Linked DNA regions of Sus scrofa. The main gene of each other region encodes a partner of the protein of the gene in region 7 in a complex. Links are inferred from orthologs where the notes say so. Each region holds a gene or a part of one and is shown on either strand. Other genes may lie near its edges. The genes, in order: PRPF4, UBL5, LSM4, SNRPD2, SNRNP200, PRPF3 and SART1.

The links.
Region 1: SART1 (region 7) and PRPF4 share a complex: the UniProt entries of both Homo sapiens proteins name them as parts of the U4/U6-U5 tri-snRNP complex. The link is inferred for Sus scrofa from reciprocal best matches to the Homo sapiens genes SART1 and PRPF4.
Region 2: the proteins of SART1 (region 7) and UBL5 are in contact, whole or in part, in a crystal structure (PDB 4PYU), measured with the Homo sapiens proteins. The link is inferred for Sus scrofa from reciprocal best matches to the Homo sapiens genes SART1 and UBL5. Residues at the interface, in NP_005137.1 of Homo sapiens: Ser117, Leu118, Ser119, Ile120, Thr123, Leu126, Arg127, Leu130, Leu132, Lys133, Leu135; in NP_001041706.1 of Homo sapiens: Met1, Glu3, Arg15, Lys17, Cys18, Asn19, Asp21, Asp22, Asp26, Lys29, Leu30, Ala33, Gln34.
Region 3: SART1 (region 7) and LSM4 share a complex: the UniProt entries of both Homo sapiens proteins name them as parts of the U4/U6-U5 tri-snRNP complex. The link is inferred for Sus scrofa from reciprocal best matches to the Homo sapiens genes SART1 and LSM4.
Region 4: SART1 (region 7) and SNRPD2 share a complex: the UniProt entries of both Homo sapiens proteins name them as parts of the U4/U6-U5 tri-snRNP complex. The link is inferred for Sus scrofa from reciprocal best matches to the Homo sapiens genes SART1 and SNRPD2.
Region 5: SART1 (region 7) and SNRNP200 share a complex: the UniProt entries of both Homo sapiens proteins name them as parts of the U4/U6-U5 tri-snRNP complex. The link is inferred for Sus scrofa from reciprocal best matches to the Homo sapiens genes SART1 and SNRNP200.
Region 6: SART1 (region 7) and PRPF3 share a complex: the UniProt entries of both Homo sapiens proteins name them as parts of the U4/U6-U5 tri-snRNP complex. The link is inferred for Sus scrofa from reciprocal best matches to the Homo sapiens genes SART1 and PRPF3.

The regions. Positions count from the first base shown.
Region 1 is NC_010443.5:253,904,867-253,909,122, reverse strand, and holds the start of PRPF4 (U4/U6 small nuclear ribonucleoprotein Prp4), read right to left. Parts: upstream 2,866-4,256; 5' UTR 2,660-2,865; coding exon of another isoform or gene 2,469-2,659; 5' UTR 2,329-2,468; coding exon 2,302-2,328; intron 1,530-2,301; coding exon 1,352-1,529; intron 1-1,351. Other genes in the region: anaphase-promoting complex subunit CDC26, read left to right, coding at 2,469-2,659. UniProt on the Homo sapiens protein: Plays a role in pre-mRNA splicing as component of the U4/U6-U5 tri-snRNP complex that is involved in spliceosome assembly, and as component of the precatalytic spliceosome (spliceosome B complex).
Region 2 is NC_010444.4:68,705,249-68,708,536, reverse strand, and holds UBL5 (ubiquitin-like protein 5), read right to left. Parts: upstream 1,955-3,288; 5' UTR 1,951-1,954; coding exon 1,895-1,950; intron 1,691-1,894; coding exon 1,607-1,690; intron 1,447-1,606; coding exon 1,409-1,446; intron 682-1,408; coding exon 638-681; 3' UTR 588-637; downstream 1-587. UniProt on the Homo sapiens protein: Ubiquitin-like protein that plays a role in cell proliferation and sister chromatid cohesion by associating with spliceosomal proteins. Participates thereby in pre-mRNA splicing by maintaining spliceosome integrity.
Region 3 is NC_010444.4:59,498,156-59,502,363, reverse strand, and holds the start of LSM4 (U6 snRNA-associated Sm-like protein LSm4), read right to left. Parts: upstream 2,805-4,208; 5' UTR 2,689-2,804; coding exon 2,686-2,688; intron 2,437-2,685; exon of another isoform or gene 2,376-2,436; intron 714-2,375; exon of another isoform or gene 274-713; intron 1-273. UniProt on the Homo sapiens protein: Plays a role in pre-mRNA splicing as component of the U4/U6-U5 tri-snRNP complex that is involved in spliceosome assembly, and as component of the precatalytic spliceosome (spliceosome B complex).
Region 4 is NC_010448.4:52,035,335-52,039,503, forward strand, and holds the end of SNRPD2 (small nuclear ribonucleoprotein Sm D2), read right to left. Parts: intron 824-4,169; coding exon 649-823; 3' UTR 566-648; downstream 1-565. UniProt on the Homo sapiens protein: Plays a role in pre-mRNA splicing as a core component of the spliceosomal U1, U2, U4 and U5 small nuclear ribonucleoproteins (snRNPs), the building blocks of the spliceosome.
Region 5 is NC_010445.4:46,956,473-46,960,066, reverse strand, and holds part of SNRNP200 (U5 small nuclear ribonucleoprotein 200 kDa helicase), read right to left. Parts: intron 3,554-3,594; coding exon 3,364-3,553; intron 3,267-3,363; coding exon 3,102-3,266; intron 2,878-3,101; coding exon 2,756-2,877; intron 2,514-2,755; coding exon 2,370-2,513; intron 2,272-2,369; coding exon 2,095-2,271; intron 1,844-2,094; coding exon 1,683-1,843; intron 1,601-1,682; coding exon 1,519-1,600; intron 304-1,518; coding exon 211-303; intron 112-210; coding exon 1-111. UniProt on the Homo sapiens protein: Catalyzes the ATP-dependent unwinding of U4/U6 RNA duplices, an essential step in the assembly of a catalytically active spliceosome. Plays a role in pre-mRNA splicing as a core component of precatalytic, catalytic and postcatalytic spliceosomal complexes.
Region 6 is NC_010446.5:98,768,836-98,772,942, forward strand, and holds the start of PRPF3 (U4/U6 small nuclear ribonucleoprotein Prp3), read right to left. Parts: upstream 2,890-4,107; 5' UTR 2,770-2,889; intron 1-2,769. UniProt on the Homo sapiens protein: Plays a role in pre-mRNA splicing as component of the U4/U6-U5 tri-snRNP complex that is involved in spliceosome assembly, and as component of the precatalytic spliceosome (spliceosome B complex).
Region 7 is NC_010444.4:6,366,761-6,370,354, forward strand, and holds part of SART1 (U4/U6.U5 tri-snRNP-associated protein 1), read right to left. Parts: intron 2,948-3,594; coding exon 2,821-2,947; intron 2,696-2,820; coding exon 2,590-2,695; intron 2,043-2,589; coding exon 1,965-2,042; intron 1,856-1,964; coding exon 1,756-1,855; intron 1,673-1,755; coding exon 1,530-1,672; intron 1,412-1,529; coding exon 1,205-1,411; intron 490-1,204; coding exon 365-489; intron 288-364; coding exon 154-287; intron 45-153; coding exon 1-44. UniProt on the Homo sapiens protein: Plays a role in mRNA splicing as a component of the U4/U6-U5 tri-snRNP, one of the building blocks of the spliceosome. May also bind to DNA.

The DNA.
Region 1 (4,256 bases), on a different chromosome or scaffold from region 7:
ACAACATAAAAAGTTAAAAAAGTCACCAGAGCACATGTGTACAGAAAAAGAAAATGTGTGGGAGTATTAATAGAAATGACAGAATCCTATCTGCAGAGGTCTTTCTACACCTTTCAGTACGATTTGAATTTCTTATGACAAATATGAATAATTTTATTTTAAAAACAGTGGACCACTAGTTACTGACATCAAAAGATATCCTCAACAGTAAACAGAATGACAAATGCAGGTTACGAAATAATTTATCATGATTTCATTTATAGAAAAAAATCTTGTATTTCTGTAGCTTTATTAAATTCTTGGAATAATATAGACCTAATTAATAAGGATTATAGGCTTTTCTACCTCACACATTTCTAACTAATCTCTTTCAAAATAAAAACAGCTATTGCTTTTAATTGAAAGAGATATTTCATTTTGGGTGAAAAATAATTGGAAAACTGAACAAGTTAGAATATTATGAACCAGGGTAGTTCCAAACCAATGCCAGAACTATCCTAGATATCCATAAGATAAGTGGAATCAATCTGAATCCAAACACACACTGAATAAATTCCCAGTAAAATTATTAACAATTCAGGGAAGAAAACCTGTATAAAAGGTTTTAAGAAAAAAGGTTCTGGGAGTTCCCGTCGTGGCGCAGTGGTTAACGAATCTGACTAGGAATCATGAGGTTGCAGGTTCGATCCCTGGCCTTGCTTAGTGGGTTAATGATCCGGCGTTGCTGTGAGCTGTGGTGTAGGTTGCAGACGCAGCTTGGATCCCGAGTTGCTGTGGCTCTGGCATAGGCTGGCGGCTACGGCTCCGATTAGACCCCTAGCCTGGGAACCTCCCATATGCCGTGGGAGTGGCCCAAGAAATGGCAAAAAAGACAAAAAAAAAAAAGTTAAAAGAAAAAAGGCTCTGGGGTAATGTTAAATGGGTAGGCAGAAAGTATGGCCTTCGAAAGATGCAAATTTTTGTTTGTTTTTTTGTTTTTTTGCTTTGTTAGGGCCGCACTTGGGGCATTTGAAAGTTCCCAGGCCAGGGGTCAAACTGGAGCTGCAGCTGCCAGCCTACAACACAGTCACAGGCTCTTGGGATCTGAACCACGTCTGAGACCTACACCACAGCTCAAAGTAACAGTGGATCCTTTAATCCACATTTGAATGAGGTCAGGGATCCAACCTGCATCCTCTTGGATACAAGTTGGGTTCGTGTAACCCGGGAGCCACAATAGGAACACCAATAGATGCAAGTTTAATATGCGAAGTTTTCTGACACTATACTTGTGATATCTACGTTTAGGAAAGTAAATATTACAGAAATTTTGAGCACCCAAAGTAGAGATGGACTACAGTTTGCATCTTACCAGAGGTTATGTTAATATTCCCTGCTTCAATTCCTGCTTTAAGTCCTTCTTTTCCCAAAATCCCAGACTCTCCTTTGGCCAGCCGTTCCCTCTCCTTTTCTTCCAAACTTCCATAATAGATGTGTGGTTTCTTCACAACAGGAGCGACTAAGTCATCAGGTGCCTTAGTTTTGGTTGCCTGTTAAATCAAAGACCTGGATGAACCTAAAGCTTAATCTCAGCAATTTGCTAGCTTCCCAGAGGATGAAGCTTATCCAGAGCTTCAATCCTATTCCCTCCCCCAAAAAAGACAAGTTGGACACCAATTAAGATGTATCTTCCCTGATGGAGTGGGGCAGGGGGGAGTGTTCCAGTCTCTCAGTCACTTTAAGTTTTGCAGATAGGAAGAGATAGATAAAACTAGTGAATTTCTCTTGTGATTTTTCTATCAATGGTTTGCTTTGGAACATGTTTACTTCATTTGGTTGGAGGTGCAATCTCTTCTTGGGTTTTATGAAACTTTCAGGGCCACTGCTCATCACAGGAGATATCAAGAATAACTGAAATAACCAACGCCATGATAAAGGGGAACAAGTTATAAAGTTACCGGTCTATACAATTCAAACGTTTTCAGACGCGAGGTAGTAGATATGAAGTTAGGAGGCCTCATTATAATCAAGACTGACACTGTCGTAAATCTTGGCCAAAACCCTACTCCCTTTCAGAGCTCCGTTTCTGAACGAGACGGAAGAGGTATTTACATTTTAGGGTTGTTGTAGTAAGAGATGAAAATGACCTAAAACACACTCCGGTCACTCAAAGAAAAACGCTGCTCAGCTCTCTAAGACCAGACCGAGTCTGGCAGCCTTCCTCCTCAGTCCTCCACCGCCCGTTCCCTAACGGCTCTGTTCTGCACGGACCCCCCACCCCTCCGCCCTCCCTGCCCTGCCAGAGTGAGCCGAGATCCGTACCGTGGAGGAGGCTCGCGAGGAAGCCATGCTGGGCTCCGAGGCCGCGAAGCTTCAGCAAGAGGCGAGCCCTACGTTCCAGACCATCCACCGCGCGCCTAACAAAGCGGAATTACGTCCAGACCGGAAGTGGGCCGAGGGCCGAAGCCGCGTCCTGGGCGCCGTAGAGCATGATGGGAATCGTAGTAGGAAAGGCTCTGGGTGCGTTGAGCGTTGTGACACGTACAGCCTCTAAAAAGAGCACGCGGAGGACGAGGTTCTGCGAGGAGAGAGACTCAGAGCAACCTGGGAGGTGTAGTGCAGTTGACATAGCAGAAGATTCGGGGTGGGCGCTGAGGTTCCGGGAAAGGGCTGAAAAGAGGTAGGTGCTTCAAGTCGCGCGCCTCCGGACTGAACTCCGGGAGTGAAACGGCACCTTCCGGGGTCTGCTGCCGCTCCCGGCCCTGCGAAGAGCTTTAAGTCCTCCTAGAGTGGTGGACCATGTTGCCATGGAAACCTTTGCCCCGGACCCAGGAGTGCGGTCCTGTAGCCGCGAAAGGAGTGTGCTTTCCTCCGCTGTCGGGAAGTTCTCTCGGCAGCTTCTTTTGAGCTGGGTGGATTTTCGGTGCATTTGGGCAGTGGCGAAAGAATAAGCTCGAAGAGCCCTCTAGCGCCAGAGTAAAATAAAGAGCCAGCGGAGGAGCCATGGCCTGTGTTTGGTCTATATTACTCGGAGTGAGATGAAGAATGTCAGGCGTCAGGTAAACTGCGCGCAAGCAGCTCTGCACAGCCCTGTGTTGCCCTGGGTGTTGGGGCACCAGAGATCGACAAGACAAGGTTTTTGCTCCCGTATCGGGGGTGGAGATTTTTCAAAATTTATTGTTGTTTCCCGAGCTGGACAGAGCCTCCTACCCTCTCCAAGGGCAGTTACAATAATAATGGCTACATATTTGAGCGTTTACTAAATGCCAAGTTACGTACGTTACAGGCACTTATCTGCATCACGTCATTCAATCCATACAACACCTGAGTACAGATACAAGGGAAGAAGCTAAGATCTAGTGAAAGGCGAAGCTAATTGTCCAAAATCAGTGGCAACAGAATTTGAGTCTCTGCCCTTTGCCTCCAAAGCAAGCACTTTTACCCATTACACTATACTTCTTCATAGTGGTGAGCTTTTTACAGCTTGCGGGAAAGTTAGAATGTATCACAGTTGTTTTTTTCTTTTAAGCATTCTCTTGGAACTTTGGCTTCCTCTTGCCTTTGTCTACGTTGGAATCAAGATCCTATTTGATTTGGGAGTTCCTGTCGTGGCGCAGCAGAAACGAATCCGACTAGGAACCAGAGGTTGTGGGTTTGATCCCTGGCCTTGCTCAGTTGGATCCGGAGCTTAAGGATCCGGCATTAGGGTGAGCTGTGGTGTAGGTCGCAGACGCGGCTCGGATCTGGCATTGCTGTGGCCCTGGCGTAGGCCGGCAGCCACAGCTCTGATTAGACCCCTAGCCTGGGAATTTCCATATGCTGTGGGAGCGCCCTAAAAGGACAAAAAAAAAAAAAAAAAAAAATCGTATTTGATTTAGTACCAAAAAATTTGAAATGTAATGTGTCAGTGTTTTGTGTTGATAATATCATTTGTCTCAGTCCCAGGCTTCATGGGAGGAGGGGAAATTTTATCTTTTGTATACTTCACAGTCCCTAGCTACATCCTAGAAACATGTAATAATCATTTATGTTTGTACATACTTTTTTTTTGCTTTTTAGGGCCGCACCTGCGGCATATGGAGGTTCCCAGGCTAGGGGTCTAATCAGAGCTACAGCTGCCGGCCTGTACCACAGCTCACCACAACACCGGATCCTCAACCCTCTGAGTGAGGCCAGGGATGGAACCCTTAACCTCATGGTTCCCAGATAGATTCATTTCCACTGCGCCACGATGGGAACTGTACATACCTCATTTTATTTATTTATTTATTTTGTCT
Region 2 (3,288 bases), about 62 Mb from region 7:
CTCTTGAGGCTAGGTTCTTAGAATATATGCCACGCTGTTTCACTCTGTCCACTAGGATTTCATAAGTACCAGGAGATGTGGCTGCTTAACTATGCTTTATCTCATCTCCATAACACACCAAAGAAGTAAATACCATCATTTCCAATTTGGATAAGGCAATGAAGTTTAAGGGAGATTAAGTAACATGGTGCAGAGTCACAGCTGGTGGCAGAGGTGGGATTCCACCTATAGTCTGTCTGAATTCAAACCAGTATTCCTAACTACTGCACCTACTGTTCTTACTCAGAGGTTCCTCTATCTATTAGGATGCCAGTGATCCCAGGATTTCTTGACCTTCAGAAACATACGGCAAGCCCCAAAGCTCTGGTTTTCCAACTCAGGCTCCCAGCCCACTGGCTGACTCTTCACTGATCCAGTCAATCCTGAACTCTTACTGAGCAGCTAGTTACTGTGAAGATAGTGACAACCACATACCAACCCTCCCCTCAAGAGACAGCCCTCACTCAAAGATGACAACAATGAAGTAGCCTCTAAGTTTTTATTAACATGAGTTTTCAAAAACAAGCAGCCACACTATTGTGGGGGGTGAGGGTAGGAGAAGAGAGAAGGGCAAGGTAGGGGGGGAAGGAATTCTGCTTTATTGGTAATAAAGCTCCAGGTTCATCCCATCATGGATTTCATCTGAAGTAAATGAGTCAAGGAATCATCAGGGTGGGGTTGAACCCCCCCCACCCCTCCCATCTCTCACAGCTGGTAGCCACATTTTTGGACTAGGTCATTTTGATTTGAAAAGAATCCAAACTTTTAAATAAAAAGTACATGATCCTCTTGTACAACACATAAGCCTGAGTCTTACTCCACCGTGACTTCCTGCCCAACTAAGGTGGAACTCAGTAATAAATATTTTGACTGCAAACCCTCTTTTTTTTTTTTTTTTTTTTTTTGCCTTTTAGGGCCATACTTGCAGCATATGGAAGTTCCCAGGCTAGGGGTCGAATCAGAGCTGCAACTGCTGGCTTATGCCATAGCCACAGCAATAGCAACTCAGAATCTGACCTCGTCTGTGACCTACACCACAACTCAGGGCAAAATACTGGATCCTTAACCCACTCAGCGAGGCCAGGGATCAAACCCGTGTCTTCATGGATACCAGTCAGGTTCGTTACTGCTGAGCCATGATGGGAACTCCAAAGTGTCAAAGTCTTAGAAGCCATGTCAAAATACTTCACCAACCACCCTCCTGCCCCAACAAAATAATCACATGGCTCCCATTTTCTAAACACCATGTACCACATACTAAGTTAAATACATTATGTGCATAATCTCATATAGACTCCAGTCTATATATAGAACAAGGAGAACCAAGTCTGGGTATGAAAACCCTTCCTCAAGAAATCACAAAGGATACAGTCCCCCAGAGACACGTGGTCCTTAAAAATCGTGTACCTAAGGGATAAAAAGTTTTCAGAAAAAAACTTTAAAAAGGCTCTTCATTCTGGAGGCATGCTGAGGAGTTCTGCCTGAGCAAAGGGCTGGCTGCAGCACTCACCCACCCAAAGTCTCTGGCCAGCTCCTTTCCAGCTCCCATCTCCACCACTGTACTCACCACTTCTTCAATACGATCTTGTTCCAACGGGTGCCAGTTTGGGCTGCGATCAGCTTCTTAAGGTCCCCGATGGTGTCATCCGTACTGGGCACGAAGGAGTTAAGGAAAATGGAAGGGGGAGATAGAACGAGGAAGAGGGCATTCCAGGACCGAATGCACTCTGCCAGGATCCCACTCCCGTCCCCGCCTCCCAGGTTTAACTAGAATCACCCTACGGCACAGACTGAGCAGCCCGCCTCAAGCCAAGCACCCCCAGGAAACCACTGTCTCTTGGCCGCCAAAGGATACTTGCATTTAACGCGGACCTTCTTCCCCAGACGGTCGTTGCAAACAACCTCGATCATCCTGTCTGGAGCTACACAGGGTGGGGATGAGGAGGCAAGAGAATTTGGACTTCAGGGGTCTTCCAGGGTCCCAAGACCCCCAATTGTTGAGTCTTACATTCACGCCCCGCGCAATCCCCGACACTGAGGTCCTCCTGGGCCCCGAATCCTGTGTCCAAGGACTTCAGACTCCAGGCGACCGTGGAACCCAGGCAGCCAAACCTCCACCCCCCACTTGCCCCCCCGCCCTGGCCCCTTCCCGCTTCAGGTAGCCTGAAGGCCCCGCCTTGCCTCTCGCAGTCCCGCTGATCCACTATGGTCAAGTTCCATCAGCTTTCCCCGACTCCAGCCCTCTCCACCCGGCCCTCTCACCAAGAAACGCCTGGAACCAGCAGACGCCACAACCTCTTCGCTGGAAGGTAGAGCCTGGGACAGAGTCGACGCTAAGAACCGGAAGCGGAAGTGCTCGGCCGGAAGCCCTGGCCCTGGCTCCTCCCAGTGCCTGTCAACACTCCGCAGAGTTCGCCGCCTCCTGGGCGGGAAGTCGGTTCCCAGGAGCGGATTTGTGGTCCCAAGCCTGGGCAGGAGGACACCTGCAGACGGTGCACGGGGCCAAGTGAAGGTCGCAGCCCGTGCGGAGAAGGAACATGGAGAGTCAGAGGTCATGGACTGGCGCCCAGCCGATTGGATGCCGTTGGTTGAAAGCCCTTCACTGTGCCGAAACGCCGTCAGGTGTGGCATCTGCTGGGGAGGCCAGGGGCTCCTGAGGGACGTCCTGGGAAGGGGGGATGACCTCCTGTTCTTGAACCCGATGAAGCCTCTAACTGCAGCTTCAGGGCTACGGGGAGCTTAGGTCGAGTTCTGAGGCATCCGGTCCGCCCTCCTGCCTTCATTCAGGGTTTGGAAACGTTTTGCTCAGCCCTCCCCTCTGGCTATCTCGCCAGGGACATCTGGGGTGCAAACTAAAGCCAGCAAGCGAAGGAGCCTCCTGATCCTGGCCTGAATACTAGTATTTACCAGAATGAAGTTCCCATTGCACGCCAACCTGCAACACTGACAAGGAAGCTGGAAGCTGCACAAGCGCAAAATCTCCCAGGGCTGTTTCTCACGCCCTGCAGGGGGCACCTTGTACCAGATCCTAACCTTGCCTTTCGGATCCAGGGCTGGTGTGACACGGAACACCCCTCCCTAGATCCAGCCTGCCAGTAGACAGACCTAACCGTTGAACTGTACTTTCTCAGCTGACAGTATTCTCCTAGTTTGGAAAGCATAAAAGGATTCACTCTGAAAAGGGGCCTCCACTTCTGATTCAACCGGTACACTTTCTCAAATTGGGATGAGTTTAGGTGAAAGACATGA
Region 3 (4,208 bases), about 53 Mb from region 7:
TCAGGACCAGAGCAATGACACACTTGAGTCCTCCTCCCAGATCACCGGAGACGGGGACAGGGCCAGGCCAGCCCCTGTCCTGGAAGGTGAGAATGAAAATGGACTGTGTGGAGAGGTGGAGGGAGTAGGAGTAGCACAGCCAAGGCCCCTCTAGATGAGGTACCAGCAGCTAGGAGGGACACCCAAGGATACAGAGCAAGGTCTGGGTAAAGCCGGGGAAAGCAGATTAATGCCTGTTAGCAGAAGACCCACAGATGTCCTTTTATGGCATACCTTGCCTTCAGGCTGTCTCTCTCAGGCTACCATCCTGTCCCAGCTACGAGTAGCACACCCCTGGAGGACCCACAGCCTTTGCAGCTGTTGCCAGCAGTGTGACCTCAGAGGACGGCAGCGACACAGATGGAACCAGCACCTGCTCACACCCTCCCCTGCACACCCGCTCCCTTGGCTAGCCACAGAGCCAGGCCTGACACGGCTCTAGCAAACTGGCCCGCTCACTTCTTCACACCACGCCTGGTGCTATTGGTCAAACTTTGTTCCTTGGTTCCCTCTACCTGGGGTGCCCTCCCCCAGGCTGGTGACTTCTGCTTCAGCCAGCCCCTCATTATAACCCCATCAAGGGAATGAGGTTTCCACCTGGGCCACCCTCTGCTTCTATTATAGGGTATAGCCAGTCTCTAATTAACTTGTTTATTTATTACGTCTCCCTGGCTAGACTGGAAACACCAAGCCTCTTGCTAGACTGGAAAATTCAGAGGGTGTGGACTTTGTCCAGTGCTGAACACTGGGCCAGGCACATGCAAGGGACTCAGTAAATATTTGCTGACAAATATAGCACATACCACCCAGGGAGGCACTCCAGGCAGGGGGTGGTGACAGGGGTGGGGTGGGGTGGGGAATACTTGCCACACCTCACAAGACAAGGAAAAGGAGAAGCTCAGGTAGGGAAAGGTGGCATTGGGACAGCCCTCCAAGACTTCAACAACCGCAGCAGTGGTCATATCTACTTCCTTGTTCCCAAACGCTGTTGGAGACAAAGGCCAAAGGAAGAGGAGGAACCTGGTGAACTTGAAAGCGAGGGGTATGCTGGGGTGGGGGAAAGCATGAAGGTGCCAGGGATACAGGAGAGGGCAGATCACCCAGTTCAGGGGGGAGCAAGGGCTGTGTGGAATTTGGAGTCATAAAAAGCTTCAGGGAAGAGAATTCTTTTCTCTAGCCTTTCTCAGAACATCTGGGGTCTGGCCCTCAGGTCTAGGTCCATCCACACCTAAATACATTTATTTATTTGCTTTTTAGGGCCGCACCCATGGCATATGGAGGTTCCCAGGCTAGGGGTCGAATTGGAGGTACAGCCACCAGCCTGCGCCACAGCCACATGGGATCTGATCCACGTGTGCAGCTTACACCACAGCTCACAGCAACACTGGATCCTTAATCCACTAAGCAAGACCTGGGATCAAACCCCCAACCTCATGGTTATTACTCGGATTCGTTTCTGCTGTGCCACAATGGAAACTTCCACAACTGGATTTAATGGTGTCCTGAGGTTCCCAACTCAGGAAGCTGCTGATCACCCACTCCCTCACCCAGACCTTGGCTTGGCTTCCGCCCCACCCCGACCACAAGGAACAGGCAGTGTGTAATGCCTTAGCCACTCCTGAACACAGACTTTGCACAGACACTGTTCTAGGCTCTGGCAATATATGAGGATAAAACAGAGATCCTATCTCCATGGAGCTTAACAAATGGATTCTTCCACAGACCAACTCTACCCTCCAGAGAGACGAACAGAGAGAACGAAGCTGCTCCCTTCTCTCCATCCCTACAATGACCAGAAGAATTACTGAACCCTCATGGTCAGCTCCGAAAAATGTGCAGCGACCATCTTAGAGGACTCGAGGGCTGATGGGCCAGGTTCTCTCCCAGCTCAATTCCTCTGTGTGGGCCTCCATTTCCCTGTCTGTCACTCACTGGGGACACAGGCACGCTGGTTTAGATCTCCAATTTCCACAACTTGTGAGATGGCATGGCCCTGGGGAGACTTCCTGCCAGGGCCTCGATTTTTTTGTTTTCTAAACTGGGATACGGTTAGCCCATCCATGGCTGAAAACGCCCCCCCTTCCCCTGGAACCATATGCTGTGTGACCCCGGAAGAAGTTAACCTTGCTTTGGGTCTGCTTTTTAGTCTGAAAAGGAGAGGCATAAGAGGTTGCGCAGCTAGCATTCCAAGGGCAGTACAACCCCCGAAATTCCCCAGATTGGCTGAATTTGAGAAAGAAGGCCGGCCCCCTACTGCCTGGTGCTCTAGCTTTACTGTCTAGGAGGTCAGATCGGGTCGGATGCACTGGGAGCCATTTCCCCGTCCGAAAACTCACTCTGCTGCATTCACCGGGCCCTTCAGCAGGTCCCCTTCCTCTCTGGCCTCAGTTTCCCCATCTGCAAAATGGGAAGACTGCTGCCAGACTGCCATACTGTGATTTCATTTCTATCCAATCCCAAGCTCCCCCGAGACCGACGTGCTTGGTGTCCTGGGAGAAGCTCTTCCACTCTCCGGCCTGTCCTCCCCACCTTGGGCGAAGGGGCAGGACTCAAGGCCCAGATTACAGGCTGGCTCCACAACGCCCCTGAACCAACAACCGCCCCGAGGGCCCTTGGCGGCCGGCTCCCCCGTCGCACCGCCCTCACCATGGTGTCGGCGGGGACTAGGCTCGTGGGCTACTTCCGCCGCCGCCGCCGCTCACGTTCCCGCCGGTAGCTGCAGCTCTGCGCGCCACTAGGCTGAAATGGAGTGGCAGCAACGCGAGCCAGTCAGCACGAGGCTCATGGGAAGGCCAACCAATCCACGCGGAGTAAGGCGGGGCCTATTAAACACGAGGGGCGGGGCGGGCCGCGTTCCTACCGGAGAAATGAGAGAGAGAGTCGTAAAGTGCCGCTATGAGTGCTGCAAAAGGGGGCGGAGCAATGTGCGCCGGCGCAGGAGGCCTTGTGGGTAAGGGCGCCTGCGCAGGTGCAATCTTCAGTGATTTTTCCGGGCTCCACGCTGTGGGCAAAACGGGGTAGTGCCTCCAATTTCCAAATGGAGGAATGGCAGCTCTATGGTTATTGCCATGTGTCCCTTCGAGCTCCTACTCTTCTGATTCTCTTTATTGTAGTTGACCGTTGTCCAGGGCACTTCTTTTGATAGGCTAGACGTACCGGTGTGAACCTCAGTTTGCTTCCCTTTGAAATGGGCTTAATAATAGTGTCTGCTTTAGAAGGTTGCAATGAGTGCCAAGTGATTTATGCCTTGTAAAAGAAGAGTGCCCGGCACGTACTGAGCACTTGATACACGGACATGCAATAAATATTTATTGAGCATCTACTACGGGCCTCCTCCTGGAAACACAGAAGAGAATAAACCAAACAAAACTCCTGGCCCTCCTGAGGTTTAGGAGCCCACTGGGGAGGCAGACTGTAAACAAAATAGACAAATGTATTAGTTTCCTTGGGCTGCCATAACAAATGATCAAACTGGGTGGTTTTATTTTTTTATTTTTATTTGAATATTTTTTGCTTTTTAGGTCCTCACCCATGGCATATGAACGTTCCCAAGCTAGGGGTCGAATTGGATGGAGCTACAGTTGCCTACACCATAGCCATGGCAATGCAGGATCTGAGCAGCATTTGTGGCCTACACCGCAGCTTCCTTAACCCACTGATTGAGGCCAGGGATTGAACCTGAGTCCTCATGGATACCTAGTCCGGTTCCTTACTGCTGAGCAACAACAGGAACTCCAAACTGGGTGGTTTTAAACAGTAAAACTTAATCCGAAAGACTGAAATCAAAGTTTTAGCAGAGTTGGTTCTTTCTGAAGGATCTGAGGGGCAATTCATCCCATGCTTCTCTGCCAGCAATCCTTGTAGTTCTTGGCACAGATTCCTCTGTCATCACATGGTGCTTTTCTTTGTGTGTCTCTGTGTCTCAACTCTTCCTCTTTTTTTTTTTTTTTTTTTTTTGTCTTTTTGCTATTTCTTGGGCCGCTCCCGCGGCATATGGAGTTTCCCAGGCTAGGGGTTGAATCGGAGCTGTAGCCACCAGCCTACGCCAGAGCCACAGCAACGCGGGATCCGAGCCGCGTCTGCAACCTACACCACAGCTCACGGCAACGCCGGATCGTCAACCCACTGAGCAGGAGCAGGGACTGAACCCGCAACCTCATGGTTGCTAG
Region 4 (4,169 bases), on a different chromosome or scaffold from region 7:
AGCATCACCACTCTGGCTGGACAGCCCTGGCCAGGTGCCATCACCTCTCCGAGCCTCAGTCCCAGCCTCTGGAGCTGGAGGTGACAAACCACAGTGCCTGCTCAGAGCCCGGAGCCCTCACAGCTCAGCAGGTGTCAGCCTGGGGTACTGACCGCTTTAACCATGCAGCTCCCCTCCTGTCAGGCGGGCAGGCTGGGGCTCTTCTGGGCACAGCGGTGTCTACAACATTGCAGCACAGAGCTGGGCACAGAGGAGACACTTGGGGGATCGTTTGACTAAAGAAATGAAGAAAAACAAAAAAGACTGAAAGAAACTTAAGAGTGAAACCAACTTACTGAAAGAGAAGTAGGGAGAAGGGAGACAGAGAAAACGATGAGTAGCTGGAAGAAATTAAGCAGAAAAGACAGCAAAATCTCTCTCTGCTCAACCCATTCCCCTCACGGATGGGGCAAGTCAGGCCTCTTCACGGTTCAGGGAGGACCCCTCCCCAGGGCTCAGCCTCATGGCCAGCTGCCCCCTCCCCGGCTCAGCCCCACTTTTTAGGCCCCAGGAACAGACAGATGCCTCTAGAAAAAACGCAGGACTTTATTATTCCCATCACGAAGGGCAGGTCTTCACGAAGGAGGGAGCAGGAGGGCGGGCGGGCGCCTACTTGCCGGCGATGAGCGGGTTCCGCAGGACCACGATGACCGAGTCCCCGCGCAGGAACATCTTGGAGATGTAGCGGTCCTTGTTGACGGGCTTGGACTTCTTCTTGCCCTTGCCGCTCTTGGGGACCTCAGTCCACATCTCCTTCACGTTCTCCAGCACCATGTTGCAGTGCCTGGCGGGGAGGGAGCATCGGGAGTGAGCGGGACCCTGACCGCCCCTCCTCCAGCAGCGCAGGCCCGGGACCAGGCTGGCCGGCTTCCAAGGCCTCCTCTGTGAGTCCCTCGGCCCTCTGTGCCTCAGTTTCCTCCTCTCTAAAACAGGGATGCTCACAAGGAGATCCTGCTGAATAGCACTGAGAACTTTGTCTAGATACTCATGTTGCAACAGAAGAAAGGGTGGGGGAAAAAATGTAATTGTGATGTATACATGTAAGGATAACCTGACCCCCTTTCTGTACAGTGGGAAAATAAAAAAAATTATTAAAAAAAAAAAATAAGGAGTGCCCGTCGTAGCGCAGTGGTTAACGAATCTGACTAGGAACCATGAGGTTGCGGGTTTGGTCCCTGCCCTTGCTCAGTGGGTCAACGATCCGGCGTTGCCGTGAGCTGTGGTGTAGGTTGCAGACGCGGCTCGGATCCCGCGTTGCTGTGGCTCTGGCATAGGCCGGTGGCTACAGCTCCGATTGGACCCCTAGCCTGGGAATCTCCATATGCCACGGAAGCGGCCCAAGAAATAGCAAAAAAGACCAAAATAAATAAATAAATAAATAAATAAAAAATAAAATAAAATGGAAGAATATGCAAATAAATAAATAAATAAATAAATAAATAAAACAGGGATGCTCAGAGTTCCTGCTGTGGTGCAACGGGGTCAGGGGCATCTCTGCAGTGTCCTGCAGGACACAGGTCTGATTCCTGACCCGGCATAGCGGGTCAAAGGATCTGCTGGCGCAGCAGCAGCACCGACCTCGCAACTGCAGAACTGTGGCTCAGATCAGATCCCTGGCACTGGCCGCAGGGAGGGAAGAAGGGAGGGAGGGAGAAAAGACAGGAAAGGAGAGGAGAGCAAGAGGGAGATGTTCACAGAGCCCACCTCCTCGGGCTGTTGTGAAGAATAAATGAATCGATACGGTATTCCCATCAAGCACTCAGAACAGGGCCAGGCACAGGATAAATGGTTTTGCTTGTGCTTTTTAACTCTGAGCACTTCTGAAGGCATCAGCAAAGGAACAGCTTCTCTTTGGAGAACCAGCAGTCCCTGGTGGCCTGACGGGGTACGTGATGCCTCTGCTCCAGTTCTGCTCTGTCCCTGTCCTCAGGGTGCCGGGGGCGGGGTGGGCGGGACACGTGATTCAGCTCACTCAACAGAGAGACAGACACTCTAGTGACTGACGGGGGAAGAACACTCAGCAGGTAAACAAGACACCTGAAATCTACTGGCAGGTGGTGTCAGTGCTATGAAGAAAAATTCAAGCAAAGTAAAGGGACAGGAGGTTACAGGGAGGTATCATCCCGCCTGAGAAAGGAGACCCCTGAGGAAGCCCCGTCCTCGCTGTGGCGTGACCTTGAGCACATAGCATTGGGCGGGAAAAGCAAGGAAGGGAACAGTATGCACAGAAAGCCATCTTCTGAAACAACGAAAACACTTTCTGTAGGAAGACGGGAGTAGGAAAAGCAAATACTCCACCAGGTGTCCAATACAGAATCCTTTTTCAGAAAGGATTTCTTTCTTCTTTCTTTCTTCTTTTTTAGGGTCACACCCATGGCACATGGAAGTTCCCAGGCTAGAGGTCTAATCGGAGCTGTAGCTGCCAGCCTACGCCACATCCACAGCAACGCCTCTGCAACCCACACCACAGCTCACAAGATCCTTAACCCACCAAGCAAGGCCAGGGATCAAACCTGCATCGTCATGGATGCTAGTCAGATTTGTTAACCACTGAGCCACCAGGGGAACTCCCAATATAGAACCCTTGAAAGCCACCTAGAGCCTGGTGACCGTGGGTGACCTAGACAAACTGGGGAGAAATTGGATGGAAACTTTTTTTTTTTTGTCTTTTTGCCATTTCTTGGGCCGCTCCCACGGCATATGGACGTTCCCAGGCTAGGGGTTGAATCGGAGTTGTAGCCACCAGCCTACACCAGAGCCACAGCAACGCAGGATCCGAGCCACGTCTGCGACCTACACCACAGCTCACGGCAACGCCGGATCCTTAACCCACTGAGCAAGGGCAGGGATCGAACCCGCAACCTCACGGTTCTTAGTCGGATTCGTTAACCACTGCGGCACGACGGGAACTTCCTGGAAACTTTTTTTTTATTTTGTCTTTTTAGGGCCACACCTGAGGCATATGGAGATTCCCAGGCTAGGGGTCGAATCAGAGCTGTAGCCGCTGGGCTATGCCACAGCCACAGATCTGAGCCACGTCTGCGACCTACATCACAGCTCAGGGCAACGCCGGATCCCCGACCCACTGAGCAAGGCCAGGAATTGAACCCGCATCCTCGTGGATACTAGACAGATTCCTTTCCACTGCGCCACAACAGTAACTCCACTACTAGGCCTCTTTAAGACTTTCCAAGTTTTTTTTGTTTGTTTGTTTGTTTGTGTTTTTTTGTCTTTTTGCCATTTCTTGGGCCGCTCCCGCGGCATATGGAGGTTCCCAGGCTAGGGGTCCAATCGGAGCTGTAGCCGCCAGCCTATGCCAGAGCCACAGCAACACAGGATCCGAGCCGCGTCTGCAACCTACACACAGCTCACGGCAATGCCGGATCGTAAACCCACTGAGCAAGGGCAGGGACCGAACCGGCAACGTCATGGTTCCTAGTCAGACTCGTTAACCACTGCGCTACAACGGGAACTCCTCCAAGTTTTTTGTGTGTGTGTGTCTTTTTGTCTTTTCTAGAGTCGCACCTGCGGTATATGGAGGTTCCCAGGCTAGGGGTCTAATCGGAGCTGCAGCTTCCAGCCCACACCACAGCCATAGCAACGCCAGATCCAGGCCGCATCTGCGACCTACACCACAGCTCACGGCAATGCTGGATCCTTAACCCACTGAGCAAGGCCAGGGATCAAATCCGCAACCTCATGGTTCCTAGTCGGACTCATTAACCACTGCGCTGCGACAGGAACTCCAAGACTTTCTAAGCATTAACTCATCAATCCTCACAGCATCTCACCCCCAGGAGGCACACATTGGAGTTCCTTCCAGCTTCCAGAGCAGGAAACTGAGAAGAGCGGGATGAAGCCACTCACCCAAGGTCAGACAGTTTGGAAGAGGCAGAGCCTGAGTTCGAATCCAGGTCTATCTGCCTCCTTGGGCTCGGCACTTCCTATCGTTCTCGTTCTCACTTTACTCAAGAGTAAATTGAGGCTCAGAGTGAAAGCTTTGTTCTTGGTCCCACAGTAGCCATTGGCAAAAGCAATCCAGAGGTAAGCTTCACCCCCCTGCCGAGAGGAAAGCACTTCCCTGATGCTGAGGACTGCCAATGGTTTTTTGCTGTTGTTGTTATTTTGGT
Region 5 (3,594 bases), on a different chromosome or scaffold from region 7:
CACATCCACACTGAATTTGTACTCCTGGTCACACCCCATGTAGGCGTCACTCATGAAGTACAGAGTGTAGTTGTGGGCACCAGTGGCCGGGGCCACGAAGTCAAGCTTCACCTAGAGAGAGCAGGTAGAGCTCAGGGTGAGCTCCGATGCAGAGGAAGAGTTCTCACCCTGCCCACCTCAGAACGCGCTGGGGCCAGTGGACACACTCACCTTGGCCTTCTGCTGCAGGGTCAGCCTCTTGATGGAGATGAGGCTGTTTGACTTGGCATCTCCAATCACCACCCACCAGCCCTCTTCACGTTTCTGTAGTGACCAAAAGCCAACAATTTCAGAGTATTAAGACTTGATGGGAGTTCCTGTCGTGGCGCAGTGGTTAACGAATCCGACTAGGAACCATGAGGTTGCGGGTTCGATCCCTGCCCTTGCTCAGTGGGTTGACAATGCGGTGTTGCCGTGAGCTGTGGTGTAGGTCGCAGACGCGGCTCGGATCCTGCGTTGCTGTGGCTCTGGCGTAGGCTCTGATTCGACCCCCAGCCTGGGAACCTCCATATGCCGCGAGAGCAGCCCACGAAATAGCAAAGAGACAAAAAAAAAAAAAAAAAAAAAAAAGACTTGATGGCCATGACACCAGGAGAAAAGAAAGTTACAACAAAAACCAGAAAGAAAGCTTTCTAAAATTTCTTCCCAAAATTAATTTAAGATTTTAAACTGTCTAAAGGTGTCTCAAGAGAAATCAACTTTTAGGTAGGTAGGTGAACTCATTTGTTGGTTCTGGCTCCTTTCCTGGTCCAAGTCCCTTCTCCCATTCAGTGCTTGCCACTAAATCCAAGATTCCACGATTAGACATCTAGTCTGTGGGGCCTGGCAACCTGGACTTCCTCAGAGACCCTTTCAAGTGAAAGCATGTATGTCAGAGGAAAACATGGCAACATGGAGATGAGCCTGCCAGTGAAGAGGATCCAAAGCAGGCCTGGCCTCCATAAAGAATCCCTCTCTGCTGGCTGCTCCTCTGCCAGAAAGCCCAAGAATTCCAGTTAAAGTGCTCTTTCCTCAGAACCTATTAAACACATTTATAAAATTAAACATTAGTGTATCTAGTTTCTGCTTTCAGCCATCAGTCATTCTCCCCTGTAAGGGGTCAGATTTCCTTTTGGGCAGTAAAGAGCCAAGCTACTGGAAACAGTATGTAGCAGTGAGAAAGGGGGGAGAAGAAACACCAGCTAGAAAAGCCCAATTATCCTGGACCACTTAGAGGTAAAGATAAATGATTCTTCATAGCCATGGATATCGACGGCACTGCACAACTGGGACTTTGAACCAGTCACCTAAATTGCTTTAAAGCAAAAACTCCCACCACAATCACCCATGGCCCCAAGATTAATCCTCACCCAAATGACTTGGGTATTACTCTAAATACCAAATACCTGGGTATCACTCCAGTGACTGTGGACCCCTTGGCCCAGACTCTAGCCAGCTAGTAGGGCCTCAGGGCAGCCCTGGTAAAGCTAGTAGCCGTACCTGTGGGAAGAGAGGTGCGATCACAGGGCCTGTGACTTCTTCCTCTCGCTCCAGCTGCACCAGCACCACAACTGGCCCACCACTGCAGGGACAAACACAAGGTATGCATCAGAGCTGTGCCCAGTGGGGACCCTGGGGGAGGGCCTTGGCCCTCTCTGGCTCACCTGCGGATACTGTCCTTATCCACCACTTCGTAGGACAGCTCGATGTTGGGGTAGCGGTTACAGAACCGGGCCACGTCTGCAATCTGGCTGTCTGACAGTTGCAGCAACGCGTTGCGCTCCTCATCTTCCATCTCCATGATGTCGAAGACACTCTCCACCCCCTGCAGTAGGCGTTCAGAGGTCAGGGAAGATGAGGGAATGCAGACTAGCAGCAAAGGGAACTGGCTCCAAAGAACAGCTGATTTGACTTCCTACACTACCAGGTCACCTAAAGACTCGGCCCACAACCATCAGGCTCTCTAGCATCTCCGTGGGTAACACCTTCAGAAAAAGTCTCCCCTCCCACTACCCCCGCCCCAGCACAGGACACTCAGGCTCGGCCACCAACACTCCAGGCCCAGGCCCGGCTCACCTTGTCTGTGCAGCGTTTGATGTGCTCTGAGGTGAAGTGTGGCAGCTGTTTCAGGTATGAGTCCTTGGACCACATGGCCTGCGTGACCATCTGGGCCAGCTCCATGGCTGCCAGGGCTGGGCTGAGCCAGCCGTTGCTGGAGAGGACATCCACACAGGCCTGGATGAGCCGGATGGCCTGAACACGGGTAGGAGAGCAAGGGAGGGTGGTTCAAAACTGCTGCTTCAGATGGCACGTGGGCCACCCCTGTGCCCAGCCCCGTGCCCAAACAATACCTTGCTAAGGATTTCCTCTGTATCCGACTGCAGCTCAGCACTCAGCTGCATGCGGGACAGGTGAGCCTGCAGAAGCAGGTTGGTCTTCACGTGTGGGTCGTTGAACTTGGGGTTATTCAGCTTGTGGGGGACCTTCTGAGCCAACTGGAATGTGGAAGAAAAAGAGCCGGTGATGAAGAGGTGGCCCTGCTCTGGGGCCCACAGCTCCACCTGACCCAGGCTCACAATACTTCACAACACAGGGGCGGGTGGAGGGGTGCATCTTGGGGGCTGAGACGTGTGTGGAGGCAAGTGAGGCCTGAGCCAGTGGCGACGGGGGATCACGTGCTGTGGGCACACCGCCAAGTTTCAACTCCAAGGGTGTTCTGAAGCCATGACAGCCTCACCTGCCGAAGCAGGTTGTCTTCATGGTGTCGGATGGGAATGTTCTCATACTCAGCCGCATTGGAGATGATCTCAATAAGCCCTCGCACCTTGGTCTTGGCGTTCAGGGACATGCTGAAGAGCTCTGGGAAACAGGGAAGGAGATGTGGGAGGAGTCAACGCAGACAGAAAAGGAGCAGGGAGGAGAGTTAATGCCTGGGCTACCCCACCTCTGCCCGCATTGCTTTCCTCTGGCAAATACACAGGGCCCGGGAAGGCTGTCATAACTCATCCCTCTGTGCTGCAGACCCCGCCTAGGGTCCCTCTAAGCTCAGGTTCCCCTCAGACCAGCCCCCGGTGGCCCCGCACCAATGGTGGTATAGTTGATGTAATAGTAGGCAGCAATCATGCCCAGGTTCAGAGGCGCCACGTCCATCTCGTCCTCAATACTGATGCACTTGGACTGCTCCAGGTCACTCAGGGTCTGTTCCACAAGCTCTGACAAGTGGTCAGACAGGTGACGATGGGAGATGCCTGCGAAGGTGAGAGGTAAGCGGGGAGTCATGGGGAGGTGGCAAGCAAGGGCTGTGGAAACCGCAAAAGGATAACATGTGCTCCTAAGCCCGCTGACCCTGCAGGTTGTAATAGTTGGGGTTCTGTGTCATGCGGCGGTACAGAAAGGTCCAGGTGAGGTAGTCCACGGCGTCCTGCTTGTTCTCGATGGTCTTGGTGACAATCTCTGCATTGAAGTGGTCATGCATACAGTGGTCCAGGTGAGACTCTACTGGCAAAGGCTCATATAAGAACTTTTTGAAGAAATCCTATAGGAAAGAAGAGTCAATGACAATATGGTCACCAAAGA
Region 6 (4,107 bases), on a different chromosome or scaffold from region 7:
TTCTGTTTGATTTTTAAACCTAACTCAGAAAGTATCAGTGGATCAATGAAATCTGTGGAATAAACAAACCCTGAATTTAACCTAGTCTAAGAAATGAGTTCCAGCTTCTTTTTTGATTCTGTCATATTCAAGGATTGCAAATATTTATATAAAGTCCACTTAGAGGTCAGCTTTTCTATTCTTATTTCCAGGCAGGTATTCCTCAACCCAGCCGTTCTTCTTTTTTTTTTTTTTTTTGGCAGCACCCATGGCATATGGAAGTTCCCGGGCCAGGGAACGAAGCCGAGCCAAAGCTGTGGCATGGCCAGATCCTTAACCCATTGCACCACATTGTGAACTCCAACCCAGGCCTTCTTTAAGGCATGCAAATAAGGGAGGCTTTATCCACATCAGTCATCCTATACTAAAGCTCATAATCCTTAAGGCTGTTTTTGTCAATTTTTTTTTTTTTTTTTTTTTTTTTGTCTTTTTAGGGCTACATCTTCAGAAGTTCTCAGGCTAGGGGTCCAAACGAGCTGTGGCTGCTGGCCACAGCCACAGCCACAGAGGATCTGAGCCTTGTCCATGAGCTATATCACAGCTCACAGCAAAGCCGGATCCTTTAACCCACTGAGGGGACCAAGGATCAAACCCGAATCCTCATGGTGACTAGTCAGGTTTGTTACCACTGAACCACAATAGGAACTCGCTCTCACAATTCTCTGTAGTCACATTCATCCTAGTGGGAATTCTGTACTCAGATATTTTTCTCTTATGTTCTACAGGGCCTCTGTCATAAATATTCTCTCAGTTCAGAAAAGATTACTTTCATTTTGGATGTACTCTCTTTCCACTTCTATTTTTCTCCTGTTTAGCTTAACAGAGAAAACACCATCATAAAAGACTCTCTAGAACAATCTTTAAATGCAAATTAATACGATTCTTCTTCTTCCTTTTTTTTTTTTTTTTTTGCTACTGTACGTTCTGGGGCCAGGGATGGAACGTGGACGACACAGAAGCATCTCAAGCTGCTGCAGTGACAACACTGGATTCTTAACCCACTGAGCTACAAAAGAACGCTTCAAGATGTTTTAAGATGGAGTTCCTGTCATAGGATAGTGGTTAACGAATCCGACTAGGAACCATGAGGTTGTGGGTTCGATCCCTGGCCATGCTCAGTGGGTTGAGGATCCGACGTTGCTGTGGCTCTGGCGTAGGCCGGCGGGTACAGCTCCGATTAGACCCCTAGCCTGGGAACCTCCATATGCAGCCCAAGAAATGGCAGAAAGAAGAAAAAAAAATTACACTGTACCTTTTAGGAGAAAAGATATCCAGAAAGAAGAAAAAAAAATTACACTGTACCTTTTAGGAGAAAAGATATCTTAAAACTTTTTTTGCCCCCCTTGGGCCGCTCCCACGGCATATGGAGGTTCCCAGGCTAGGGATCTAATCGGAGCTGTACCCGCCGGCCTACGCTAGAGCCACAGCAACGTGGGATCCGAGCCGAGTCTGCGACCTACACCACAGCTCACGGCAACGCCGGATCCTCAACCCACTGAGCAAGGCCAGGGATCGAACCCACAACCTCATGGTTCCTAGTCGGATTCGTTAACCACTGAGCCACGACAAGAACTCCGGTACAGTCTAATTAACTTCTGCATTCTTGGTAGGTTTATCCTCTATAAGACCTGTTGCTAAACAGTGTATTTAATTTTGGTATAACCATATGAAGCTAGTGAAGTCATGAAACTAGGAGTAAAAGATTTTGTGTCTTACTGACATGTTATATAATAAATCTATGATGGCTCTATTTACCCATCATGAGACAGCACTATAGCTTATCAATTTCAACATGCTAACTGTTCAATGCTCAAAAGAAGGGTATTCAGACAACATAGGGAGTGAAGAAAGAGCTCTTCCATTTACTAACCTTCTGTCAAGCAATTCCTCTGAGCCTCAGTTCATTCATCTTACAAAAGGAGGACAACTGCCATAGCTATCTGGCACTTAATTCATTCAGTAAGTATTTACTGCACAACAACTAAGTGTTAATGTAGTGGGATACTGCCAAGGATACATACAACAGTGAACAAAAGAGACAAGAATCCTCACCTTAGAGGGCTTATATTCCACTAGAACTGAATCATAGATTAGAAAGTTTAAGCCGTTTGAAAATCCAAAGCAATAAACGGGGTACCACTCTATAAACGAACCGTATGCCCAAGCACTATACTTATGTACTCAATTTCAACCCATTCCCTCCATAATATAACGTGCAGACTAAACAGTCAGTGGGCAAAAATCAAACTTCCAAATAGTAACTAGCTTTGTCATTAATCAGACGTTCAACAATAACTGCGTGGGGCGGGGTGGGGGTGGTTACGGTGTGGAGGGAGAGAGAGGAAGGCAGAATGATCTCAATGAGCAGGTAGCAGAATCTAATCTTCTGAAGGAATTCCTTACTTCGTGCTCTTCTTTGCTACAAGTCGAATTTCCTCCCTTAAACCCTATCCTTTGCTTTTTGCTCTCTCCATCTCTCTGACCGGACCCTTTCCCCACCTTGTTCTACCCAAACTCATCTCAGAGGTAGTCTCCTCACCCTGTCCCTTTCCCGCCCCCGCCCTTTTCCTCTCAACAATCTCATTCCAACCCGTTCTCGCACAGAACCTGGTTCTTTCCTCAGCCTCCTTTCTGTTGAACCTCCCGCCTCGGTCCTCCCTTTGGACTGAAACTTAGCCCCAGCCGCTAGGACCCGAGCATACCCTCTCTGGGCCCGGGGCCACTACTCACCTCACAAACTTCAGCCCCTGAGACGGAGCCCGAACGTTACACCGGAACCGGAAACCCTCCGACCGCCCTACGGCCTGCCGTCGCTACCGCCACGGCTGCTGCCTCGCCACGGTCCCACAACTTGTGACGAAAGAGGGCGGGGCCCCGGTTCGCGCAGCCGTAGTAGCTACTTTTCCGCGGCGGAGCGCATGCGTGGCGGAGCCGTAACGATTTCCCCCGGCAAGCTACTTGGCTCCTTCGGTTCCCCGTGCTAAACCTGTTAACTACATTAGCGCAAAATTAATGTTACCTGAAGCATAAATTGAGCTGCTTGTAGTATTCCCGTGGAGAATAAGTGCGCTAAGGCTATGGCTAGAACTAAAAGCAGAGCTTCTGCGTTTGGGCTAAACCTGGACTTTCTGGTAGGAAGTAAACTTCAGAGTAGTGATCGTTAGTATTAACCACTCTCTCCTTAGCCTTTGTCCTTAACAGTGGTGCCAAGAGACCCAGAAAACCGACTAGTGTGGGAGGAGTCTGAAGATAGTACCCTCTCACACACCTTTGTTTCTTTCTTCCATTCATTCGCAAAACAAATAATTGCTGGCAGTCTAGTACTTTTTAGGCCCCACCTGCAGCATATATAAATTCGGGTTAGGGGTTGAATCAGAGCTGCAGCTTCTGGCCTATGCCACAGCCACGCAGAATCAGAGCTAGGACTGTGACCTACACCACAGCTCAGGGCAACACTGGCTCCTTAATCCACTGGGCAAGGCCAGGGATGGAACCTGTGTTCTCATGGATACTAGTGGGGTTCTTTACTCGCTGAGCCAGGACAGGAATTCCTAATCAACCATTTTGGTCCTCAACTAATCCTTACCTAACAAGCACCTTTACTTCTTGCCAGCTCCAATTATAATTCTTTTCTTTTTTTTTCTTCCTTTTTACGGCCTAACTTGCAGAATACAGAAGTTGCTGGTCTAGAGGTTGAATCGGAGCTGCACCTGCTGGTCTGTGCCACAGCCACAGCCACACTGGATCTGAGCCGCACCTGTGTTCTACACTGCAGCTTGCTGCAACACTGGATCCTTAACCCACTGAGCAAGGCCAGTTTGATGTGGGATCAAACCCACATCCTCGTGGATACTAGTTCTTAACCCCAATTATAATTCCTCCAATTATAATTTTTAATAAACAACTTATTTAACTACCTGTAAGCTTGTAAGCCTCCCCAATTTTGTAGTCCAGCAGAACACGATTCAAGTGCTTCTTAAACCTGTGTCTCCCTCAGTAAAGAACTTATATAAAGCTAAACTCATGAAGTTCCCACTGTGGCCCAACAGGATCACAGCATCTCTGCAG
Region 7 (3,594 bases):
CTCCAGCACCTCTGGGGACCCGGATCGCGGGGCTCCGCCCTCCTCTGGTGGAGACACAGAAGTCGCCTGCCTGCTCAGGTCCTCTCCGGGGCCCCGGGCCCCCCAGGCCCCCGTCCCACCCCCTCTGCCCCCTCTCAGCCGCTGGGCCCTCACCCTCGTCGCTGATGTCCATGTTCTCCACACGGGTGTCATCTGACTGCGGGGGCAGAGGCACCGGCTCCTTCTCCTCCTCCTCCTGGGCCTCCTCGTCCGCCTCGGGCACTCGGCGCCGACCCCGGCCCCGCAGCCTGTGGGGAGAGGCCTCCGGGTGAGCTCCGGCCCCGGCCGGCCCAGCCCCCCACGCCAGGCCCACGTCTGAGCCCACCTGGAGCCGAAGTCCCCGTCCTGAGTCTGGTCCCCGAGAGGCAGCAGGTCGTCGGCCCGCACCACCACCTCCTTCTCCTTCTTGCGGATCTTCTTCACCCTCCGCTTGGTCTTTTTAAAAGTCACCTGGAGGGAGGAGAGCAGAGGAGACGCGGTTTCGGGGAGGCTGGCAGCTCGGGCCCACGAGAAGGCAGGCCGCTCTAGTGCTACCCTGGGCCGGCCATGGTCCTGAGCGCCTCAGCCACGTGAACGTGACACAAGGTGTGGACGCCCCTCACTCCACCTGTGAGATGAGGAAACCCGAGCTCAGAGAGGCTAAGCGCCTCGTCCAAAGTCACCCAGCCTCCCAAGCAGGAGAGCCAGGACCCTGCATCCCGGGAGTCCGGCTCCAAGGTCTGGCTCTTAACCACTGAGCCAGGCCATCTAGCGAGCCAGCTGCCCACCTGCTATTCAATCTTCCCACATGCAACATCTACTGACAGCTACGGACTCAGCGCTCAGCACGCGTCACCAGTCCTTGTAGCAGCCCCTTACTCGGTGGCTCCTGTCACCCGTTTCAGACCAGAGCTCAGGCCTGTCGCTGAAAGACTCACTCTGTGTATAGACTGACTATGTGGCAGAGCCTGAACAGCAGCACAGGGCCACCTGGCTCACGGTCTTTGCTCTGTGTACACCCACCGCTGCCCTGCAGCACCAGGGCTGCCGGTTACTGCTTGTCCACAGGGACTGAGCACCAGGCCATAACGCGACCCTCCCACCTCTGCTCATCCTGGTGGCAGGCGATCGCGGAGGGGAGGCAGGATCACGACCGATCGTGTGCGGATGGGGCCCCAGGGCTCACCATCTCCTCTGGCGTGAGGTACTCAGAGGCGAGCCGTGGCCCAACCGAGCTCAGGGACTGAGCCTGCAGCCGCAGCTTGGCCCGGATCTCTTCCAGCTCCCGTTCCCGGAGGCCGTCGGCCACGCCGCCCTGCTCCAGCCGGAAGGACTGCGGCCGCTCGCCCTCGAGCTCCTCGTCGTACTTGGACAGGATAGAGCGGGGTTTCTGCTGCAAAGCAGGAAGTACAGGTTGGGACCCAGCCTGACCCCCGAAAAGCCACAGAGCCACCATCGCCTCAGGGGCTCCTCGGCCGCCACCGCTGCCGCCCTCTGTGCTGCCGGCCTGCCTGGGCCAAGTCGTCCACGCTCTCGTTCTCCGCGTACGGCGAGTAGTCGGGCTTCCTCTTGCGCAGCTCCACGTTTTTCTCCGCCCGCTCCTTGTCTAGCAGGTTCACGTTCACCAGCACGTCCTCCTCCTCCTGCAGCACCCCTGGAGACGAGGCAGACGCAGCAGCCGGTCACGCGCGCCCTCGGCCCGGCCCGTGCCCAGGCGGAGCACCCCGCTCAGCCCACCTTTGTCCTTGAGGGTGAGGATCACCGTCTCCCCCTCTCGGAAGGCGTCGATGGCGTGCTCCACGGTGAGGCCCTGCAGGTCCCGGGCGCTGTACAGGTCCTAGGCAGAAAGAGGGGTCCAGCTCAGCCGGGAGCCGACCCGCCCGGCCCTGGGATCCCAGCACCGGGATGGCAGCCCCCCGCCCCCCCATCAGCTGCTGAAGCCTCACCTGCCGCCTCTGCTCGAACTCTTCCTCCACCAGGGTGCTGACACCAAACTCCTGGTCCATCTCCTCCAGCAGCTTGGCCTACAGGACAGGGAGGGGGTGACCTCTGACCTCACGCTGTTCGGGATCTCCAGAGGACACGGGGCCTCACTGAGGGGGGAGCTCAGAAAGCACATGCCGGAGTTCCCGTCGTGGTGCAGTGGTTAACGAATCCGACTAGGAACCATGAGGTTGCGGGTTCGGTCCCTGCCCTTGCTCAGTGGGTTAACGATCCGGCGTTGCCGTGAGCTGTGGTGTAGGTTGCAGACGTGGCTCGGATCCCGCGTTGCTGTGGCTCTGGCGTAGGCCGGTGGCTACAGCTCCGATTCAACCCCTAGCCTGGGAATCTCCATATGCCGCGGGAGCGGTCCAAGAAATAGCAACAACAACAACAAAAGACAAAAGACAAAAAAAAAAAAAAAGCACATGCCTTGCAGACAAGCTGCCGAGAACCCAACACAGGCACCACGGACCATGGGCCTCCTACTGCTCTGGGCCCAGCCTCACTTCTCCAGGTCAGCCCCTAGCCTCACCAGCCAGTCAGGCCACCAGAGGTGCTAAGCCACACCCCGGCTGCCCAGGACCTCACCCTCTTCTCTGCCAGGTCCTTCTCCTTCTGAAGCTGCCGGCTCCTCTCGATCCAGGCTGCAGTGTCGTCCAGCCAGGGGTCATCCTCCCCCAGAGTCTTTATCTTCCTGAAGAGGGGCGAGAGTGACCCTCTGGGGAGCCAGTCCCGGCTCCCCGACCCACCTTGGCAGCTCCTCGGCGCCTCCCCAGGCCCCCACCCCACCCCCCAGCCTGCCCAGCTGGGACCCCTCACCCCAGCTTCTGGTTGAGGAGGCGCTTTTCTTTGGCAGCCGCCAGCTTCTCTCGGAGTTCTTCTCGCTGTCGCAAGGCCATGGGGTTGATGACATCGGCAGTCACGGGCTCCTCCTTGGTGCCCGCCTCTGGAAGGGAGGCCCAGACGTGAGGCTATGCCTGCCCATGGCTGGTGGGGAGAGGAGGGAGCCACTCACGCTGCCCCTTCCAGCTCAGGGGCCAGAAGGTCCTTCACCCCCCCACTCCCACAGGATCCCGCACTCCCATGTCACCCCCCAGGCCTTCCTCCAAACCCCCTCTGATCACATTTGTTTTGGGGGGGGGGCATGCCTGTGGCATACAGAAGTTCCTAGGCCAAGAATCAAACTCTCAACACAGCAGTGACCTTAGCCACAGCAGCGACAAAACTGGATCCTTAACCACTAGACCACCAAGGAACTCCCCTCTGATCATACTTTTAAAAAAACCGCAAAAACACACTCAACACCTACACAGGCCAGATTAGTGCACAGCAACTGTGCAGATCTCTCGGCCCATCTAATGCTACCTCACAGCCAGAGTGAGGTTGTGACGCCAACTGCTCCAACAGAAAGAAGGAGCTGAGTCCCGGATCCGCGTCACAACAGCCGGGAGGGCCCCGCCCCGTGCCCATCGCAGCACGCACGCGCACACGCGGGACCACGACTGGTGCTGAACCTGTGCCTCGGCCCCACTCTCCTCAAAGACCGCTTCAGGGGGCCTCCCTCTGGACCCGACCAGCCCACCCTCCCTCCCT